Neurospora crassa OR74A: one gene and its partner. The protein of the gene in region 2 interacts with the protein of the main gene of each other region in a biochemical or structural test. Links are inferred from orthologs where the notes say so. Each region holds a gene or a part of one and is shown on either strand. Other genes may lie near its edges.

What was found.
Region 1: the proteins of arp2 (region 2) and NCU10777 form a complex in vitro, tested with the Saccharomyces cerevisiae proteins (2 studies listed by BioGRID). The link is inferred for Neurospora crassa OR74A from reciprocal best matches to the Saccharomyces cerevisiae genes ARP2 and AIM7.

What each region holds. Positions count from the first base shown.
Region 1 is NC_026504.1:5,112,256-5,115,447, reverse strand, and holds NCU10777 (GMF family protein), read left to right. Parts: upstream 1-1,501; 5' UTR 1,502-1,644; coding exon 1,645-1,647; intron 1,648-1,783; coding exon 1,784-1,886; intron 1,887-1,979; coding exon 1,980-2,113; intron 2,114-2,231; coding exon 2,232-2,420; 3' UTR 2,421-2,682; downstream 2,683-3,192. Other genes in the region: NCU08824 (molybdopterin binding domain-containing protein), read right to left, coding at 1-32, 120-430, 495-589, 657-701, 758-766, 842-934; NCU08825 (cytosolic Fe-S cluster assembling factor nbp-35), read right to left, coding at 2,708-3,192. UniProt on the Saccharomyces cerevisiae protein: May be involved in mitochondrial organization and biogenesis.
Region 2 is NC_026505.1:6,357,524-6,361,207, forward strand, and holds arp2 (actin-6), read right to left. Parts: upstream 2,645-3,684; 5' UTR 2,442-2,644; coding exon 2,417-2,441; intron 2,193-2,416; coding exon 1,761-2,192; intron 1,699-1,760; coding exon 968-1,698; 3' UTR 585-967; downstream 1-584. Other genes in the region: stk-8 (serine/threonine-protein kinase prk1), read right to left, coding at 1-23; NCU07170 (hydantoin racemase), read left to right, coding at 3,444-3,554, 3,619-3,684. UniProt on the Saccharomyces cerevisiae protein: Functions as ATP-binding component of the Arp2/3 complex which is involved in regulation of actin polymerization and together with an activating nucleation-promoting factor (NPF) mediates the formation of branched actin networks.

The DNA.
Region 1 (3,192 bases), on a different chromosome or scaffold from region 2:
GGAAGGCTTGAGGCCGTCTAGGAGTTTCTCGACTGTGGAGCATTTCGTTAGCGTTCGCTTTCAATAATCTTCCTCGACACTGCTTCGATATTCCATGGGGATCGGAAAAGGAAACATACACAACCTAGGCACGCCCGGCAAGATGTGCACATTCCCATTAACCACCGCAACTGGCACCCAAAGTTCCTTGCAAGGAAAGAGGAACTGCTTCGCCAGGTCTCTGTTGACGTCTGTCGGTAGCTCCACCATACGGAGCTTTGCGGTGAGAACGGGCGAGGGCTCGTCCCAGTTGAACGGTGGCTCGCCCTTGCGAGGAACAGAAAGCTTCTTCATGAGTTTAAAAGCCTCTTCGTTCAGCTTGAGAGGCAAACCGAAGGCTTTGGCTATCGATTGGTAGGTAATGTCATCGTGGGTGGGGCCGATGCCTCCGCTATTGTTCAATGAGGTCAATGATGTGTCCTGGACACTCGAAGAAAACTCGGTGTTGGTAGTACCTGGTGACTACAAAGTCATAACGGTCACTCATACGGCGGACAGCCTCGACAATTTCATCTTCGTCGTCGGCGATGACTTCAATCCTCTTGAGATTCTGATATGGGGCATCTACAGTGAGCTTGGTTCTTCTCGGGACTTTAGAGTGGATGGCTGGAGCTCACGATTCCCAGGTTGAAGCACCATTTTGCCATGTAGTTGGAATTAGTCTGTAGTAAGTCAGCATTGGCGCGTCAGGGCAAAAATTTACGAGTTCTCGACTCACATCTTTGGTCTACACAACAACAGAGAACAGCTGTTAGTCTCATTTTCGGCTATCACCCTACTAGCACGTCTTGACTGGACCTGCCTTTCCACCCAAAACCTCATCACCGATAATCAAACACGCTGCTGTATGGATAGTCCGCGCATTGCGCTCATCTGCCGTGACTGTTGAACCCATAATGCTGTTGAAGAATGCTGTTGAAGTCCGGCGCGGAGCTGATGTTGATGGGGCAACAAATGACGTTATCGCTGGCCGTAACAAGTGCCGAGCAATCTGGGATAAACGAGAGAACATGAAGGTTTTAAGTCCAGGAGAAGTTTGTCTTGTAAGACAAAACAGATTTTTGAGGTTGAAATAACAGAAGAGAGGATTGAGAGGGAAGTCCACTGCAAGATCACAACCACAATGGGAATGAGATCGGGTCTCCGGCTTGTCTTGCCCGATGCGTGGTCGCGGCACTGGTGCCTGCCATCGCCGTCCATTAACATGATCCCCGCCCAGGGAAGGAGGCTAGGCGGCGCCTTCCCCGCTCCGTTTTAGCGGGTCAAGCTGTTAAGCTTCCGCGGGCTAATGGCCGGGACAGCCCCGCCATCAGTGAGGAATCGATAACAGCTTACGCTACGGGGCAGATACCTCAGCAGTTGAGCTGTGGACTTGGCAGTGATGCCATGCGGGGCCGACTTGCGTCCCTGGGACGGGAGCCTGGACGAGGGCGGTGTCTTGTACATGACAGCTCAATGCGACATCTTTTCGAGCTTCAACTCTTTTGCTACTATCCCAAAGCTTTGCGACATTGCCTGTTCCCCTTCGATTTCCCTCGCGACCACTTCCTTCTTCTTGCCGTCCGAATCTTGCGTGTTCGACCGACCCGAAAACAGCTCTTCACAATGGTGCGCCGCCGCTTTCCTACCTATCGCAACATCCGATCCATCCACACCACCAGCTCCTCTCTCCAGCTTCTAAGCTCTTGAAAGAAAGCAGCTTCTCGAGATTCTCAAGAACCATAGCTGATGCCGAAAATGCCAGGCCTCCGAAGCAAGACTCTACACTTTCTCCCAAGAAACCAAAGACCACCTGCGCAAGTTCCGCCTTGGGACTTCGCGCTCCAACGACCCCCAGGCCGTCATCTGTATGTATGTTCCCGTTATCCCCCCCCGGACCCTATCTCTGGCTATCGGTACAGCAGGTCAGAAAAAACTAATAGGTGTATCGCGCAAAACAGACCTGATCGATAAGACAACCAAAGAGATCAAGCAAGACGACGACAAAGTTGTATACAAGACCCTCGAGGAAATCGGCGATGACCTGCCCGATCACAGTCCGAGATTTGTGTTGTTGAGTTATCCCCTAACTCTTGTAAGCCGCCCTACTCGTCGCCCTGCTCGTCAAACATATATATCCACCTGGTCTTCTCGAAGAATGGCTGGGTGTAATGGAACAGATGAGAACTGCGACTGACAATGGCGTGGAACAGCCCTCCGGCCGACTATCGGTGCCCTACGTTATGCTCTACTACATGCCCTCGACATGCAACAGCGCAATGCGCATGTTGTACGCGGGTGCCAAGGAGCTGATGCGCAACACGAGCGAGGTGACTAAGATTATCGATATCGAGTCGCCGGAGGAGCTGGAAGAGATTCCGGCCAAGCTTGGGGCTGCTTAGACGTGTGGCAGTAAAGGGCGCCGAGCTGACAGCCTTATTATGGATGGACGGACGGGCACAAAGGTTGGTCTCCAGAGCGACCAACAGGGCCCGGCGTGAGCTTTCACACAGAGCTGGCAACTGGGACGAGGAACAAGCAAAGGGAGGCCATTTGGAATGGAAGGCAAAGTACAGCCAGATTCTGGATCATTCATGATCTTCTCGTTATATAAACGCCGTGATATCCCAGCCTTACAAAGCCAAAAAGCAGTCCCTGAACTCCGCCCATGCTATGGCCATTACTTCGCTCAAGCGTCATCCTCCTCCGGCATCACGACCTCCGGATCCAATCCCATCTCCGTCGCCAGCCCCTTGACCACCCCCTTCAAGGCCCTACACGCCGGGCTATCCGGGAAGCTATCAAAGAAGCTCTCGCCATAATCGCACGCCATGCCAATCCTCGGATCAAGCGGCACGCTCCCCAAAAACGCAATCCCCATCTCCTCCGCAAGCTTCCTCCCGCCACCTGTCGTTGCCTTAAAGATCTCGCTCTCGTGCGTGCACTTGGGGCACACAAACCCGCTCATATTCTCCACCAGTCCCAACACCTTGATCCCCGCCTTCCGGCAAAAATCAATCTCCTTCCTGACATCCAACAGGGACACTTCCTGCGGCGTGGTAACCATCACAGCGCCATCAATCCCGCTCTTTTTCAGGTACGTGTTCACGCTCAAGTGCTCATCCGACGTGCCGGGCGGCGTATCCACCAGCAGGAAGTCCAAATCGCCCCATT
Region 2 (3,684 bases):
GCTCTATTTGTGCCGTACATCATGGGGGGTGATTGTATGTTTATAAGAGTGAGGTTGGTGTATGCAAGGTAGTGACTTGGTAGTGAGAGGCTGGGCAGTCACCGCCCGTCTGTTTTGTGTTTGAAGATGCTCTCGGGAATTTGGAGAAAATAAACTATATAACCGGGCACAAGATACACACTGAAGGGATCATGCTGGGAGGGCTGGATGATGTTTTGAATGAAGGAATTGGATCAAGTTCATCGACTCACATTTCGGTTTCGGAGGCATGTCATCTGAGCCGTACCCGATCTGCACGGGCCCGGGGGGAAAACCACTGTGAGACTCGGGAATGGATGAGCGGAGACGGTGTGTTAGCGTGGCCGGTAGCTGGGCGATGGAAGCCGGGCTTGAGAGTTTGGAGAAATCGAGTAAAGATGGCCGGTGAGGATCTGGGAACACGACAGGTCTGGGGATTTTGACGACGAGCTGGATTGATATTGTTGTCGCAAAGGCAAGAACAAAGTGACACACGAAGGAAAACAATAACATCAATTACCCTTTTCGTCACCAGCGACATGTCAGGCTAGCAGAGATCTGATGATGTTTGCTTCTGTTAGTGTGTCAGCTCTGATAAGCCACTGTATCGCCGCCAGCCTTAGCGTACCGTATCGATGTCCAACAAGTGGGGGTGGACCATTTCACCTTTCCGTCTTCCCGATGTTTGTCCGGGACCGTCCCGTTCCGCTGTCCGCATCTTGCTTGATGTTGGCGCCGTTGTGATATTGGGGACTTCTTTCATGGTATCCCAAAAGACCATGACTCTTGACACAAGGCCATTGTTCGATTTCTCCTGTCGGGACCAACAAAATTACACCAGCCCAAGCAAGCTCTAACAAACTCTCGCATTATCCTTTATTTACCTACCAACGGAAAACATTATATCGCCTGCTATTGTAGTCTAAACAGCTTCACCCTCGGTAGTCCCTTACCTAGGACCCAACTTCTCCAACACCCTCGCGCCCTGTTCTTCCCACTCCTGCTTCGTAATCCACATGCTCTCCTTATCCGCCATGATATTCGCCAGCACCGCACCACCCAAGAAGACCATATGCCTTCTTCTCGGCGGGTCCTCGATCCTGACCTTGAACTTGCTCAGCCTCTCGGGGTTGCCTCCCAGCACGCGCGTCAACCACAGCTGCTTCAGTTCCTTCTCCAGTCTGCTTGGAAGGCCGGGGTACATGCTGGAACCACCCGACAGGACGATCGCCTTGAATAGCGAGGAGCGCACGTCAACATCGGCGGCCTGGATGGTGTTGAAGAGGAATTCGGCGATACCCGGCTGGTCGCAATCCACCAAGTGCGGCTGGAACAAGCACTCGGGGGCCTCGAACCGCTCGGAGCCGACGCGGATGACGCGGCCGTCGGGAAGGGTGTAGCTCTCGACGAGGACGGTGGTATCTTCGGACAGGCGCTTGTCGAGCTCGAGGTCGTACGAGACGTAGCAGAGCTTTTCCTTGATCTGGCGGACGGTCTCGAAGTCGGCAGTACGGTTGAGGGCGTAGCCGCGGCGGAGAAGGAGGGCGATCAGGTTGCGGGTGACGTCGCGGCCGGCCACATCGAGGCGGCGGGTAAGGTGGTTGAGGACCACGGATTCGTAGACAGGAACGATATGCGTGACACCGTCGCCCGAGTCGACTACGACACCAGAGGAGAGACCTGCGCGTTGTCTGTCAGCTACTTGTTTCCTCAAGTCGCCGTGTAAAGGAGCGGTGACATACCCTGAGCATACAATGCCAGCACCGCCTGGATAGCGACATAGACACCCCCAAAGTCGTAGCGCTCAAACATGACTTCGGTCATCTGCTCCCTGTTCTTCAACGGGTTCAAAGGCGGCTCCGTCAACAAGATCTTTCTTCCCCGCGTATCGACCTTCATCTTCTCGTGAAAAGTGTAGTCCCATAGGTGCTGCATGTCGTCCCACTTCTTGACGATGCCGTTCTCCATCGGGTAGCTGATTTGGAGCATGGTACGGGCGGCCGCGGCCTCGTCACCGCACATGATGTCTTTGATCACAATGTCGGAGGAGTCGGAAAGCGATTTGGCTTCTTCGGCGCGGAGAATGGGGCGGCCGACTATCGAGGGGTATTGGAATTCGGGGAAATTCTGGGCGGCGTAGCCGACCTTGAGGAAGCCGGTACCGCCATCGAGGACTGTGTTCGAGGGGGGAAGTGTTAGCTGGGCGCTGTGCTCATTTTGTTGTTGTGAAGTGGAAGTGATTGAGGACGGAGTCCGACGGCTACAGCTGCCATGGCGACGGTGATGACGCGGTCAGGCAGATGGGTGGGTGGTGGTGGTGTTGGTGGTCGTCAAGGTAGCTTGAGCTCGAGACACCAGATGGATAAGGGGTTGTTGGCGGAGAGAAGAGCTGACGTACCAATGGGAGCGTCGGTGTTGGCCATGCTGGGCGGCTGTTTGGTTTGGTAACTTTCAATGGAGTTGCGAATAGCTTCGTCGGGGTTTCGAATATCGAGTGTATATCGGAGCTAGAATGGAAAGCTCCCGCGGGTGAATCAACAGGAACCAAGTGTCGGTGGTCCCGTCGGTCGGTCGGTGCAGTGGTGTCGGTGCCCTGTCCGGGTTACGGTAGCGAAGTGGACTACGGCACCGTAATTAGCTGGAGTCCAGCGCGGTAGCCTAGCTGGGGGGGTAGCATCGATATGTGGGGTCATTCGCTAACTGCCAAGCTTTCCTTCAAACAGGGCGCCGCTCGTCTGAGCCAAAATAAAGGAGACGAGCGAGCAGGCTAGGTAAACCAGTTCACTAGACGTCAAGATCATAGAAAAGACCGCTGCAAGACCGTGACAGGGAATATAACAATTCAAAAAGACCTCAGCTAGAGCCCTATTTACACATTTTCATTCTGTAATTGCCTAGAACTTGAGAGTCAGCAGTATACCCAAGGAGCCAAGGTATCATGTCAAAGGTCTCGATTATTTTGACCAGGACGAGCGCCGATGACAAGCGGGTCTTGGCAGGATTCTGGACCCCAAGGAAGTGGCAGGCATTAGGGTACCCACGTGATACCCCGCATGAGACTCGCACTTGTACCTTCAGTAGTACATGCACCTTGTTGGGCATCGTGAGAGATCAGACGGGATGGATTGTGCATTTGAGAGTGGAGATTGATATTGGTTCTTCCCGTCCCTTCTTTTTTTGATTCTTCATTTGTGGTTATCAGACCCTTTGTTGCCTTATTCTTTCTCACTCAGGCCGTCGATACAATCGGTATTTTACCAACTCATTACGATACTAGTAGGTTGTTCCCATTCAGGTTCTACCATCGTCAATCTTTCAAACTGAGTACTTCATGATACCTCCCAAAATGGACTCAGACCTGACTATTTCCCTCTCAGACCATTTATCGATTCACCTCACTCACTCACCCCCCTTCCTTCGTCAACATGACTACCGCCCAGCAAGAACCAATCAGGATCCTGATCCTCAACCCCAACTCCTCCAAGTCCATGACCGATGGCATGGCAAAGTCTATTTCCAGCCTAAACCTCCCCGACGTCTGTCTTCCCTTCTCTCCTCCACCCCTAATAACCGAAAACGTGGACTAACACCCCCCTCCAGAACATCAAAATCACCTACTACACAGCCCCTACCTCTTGTCCAGCCAGCATCAACAACGGCACCGAC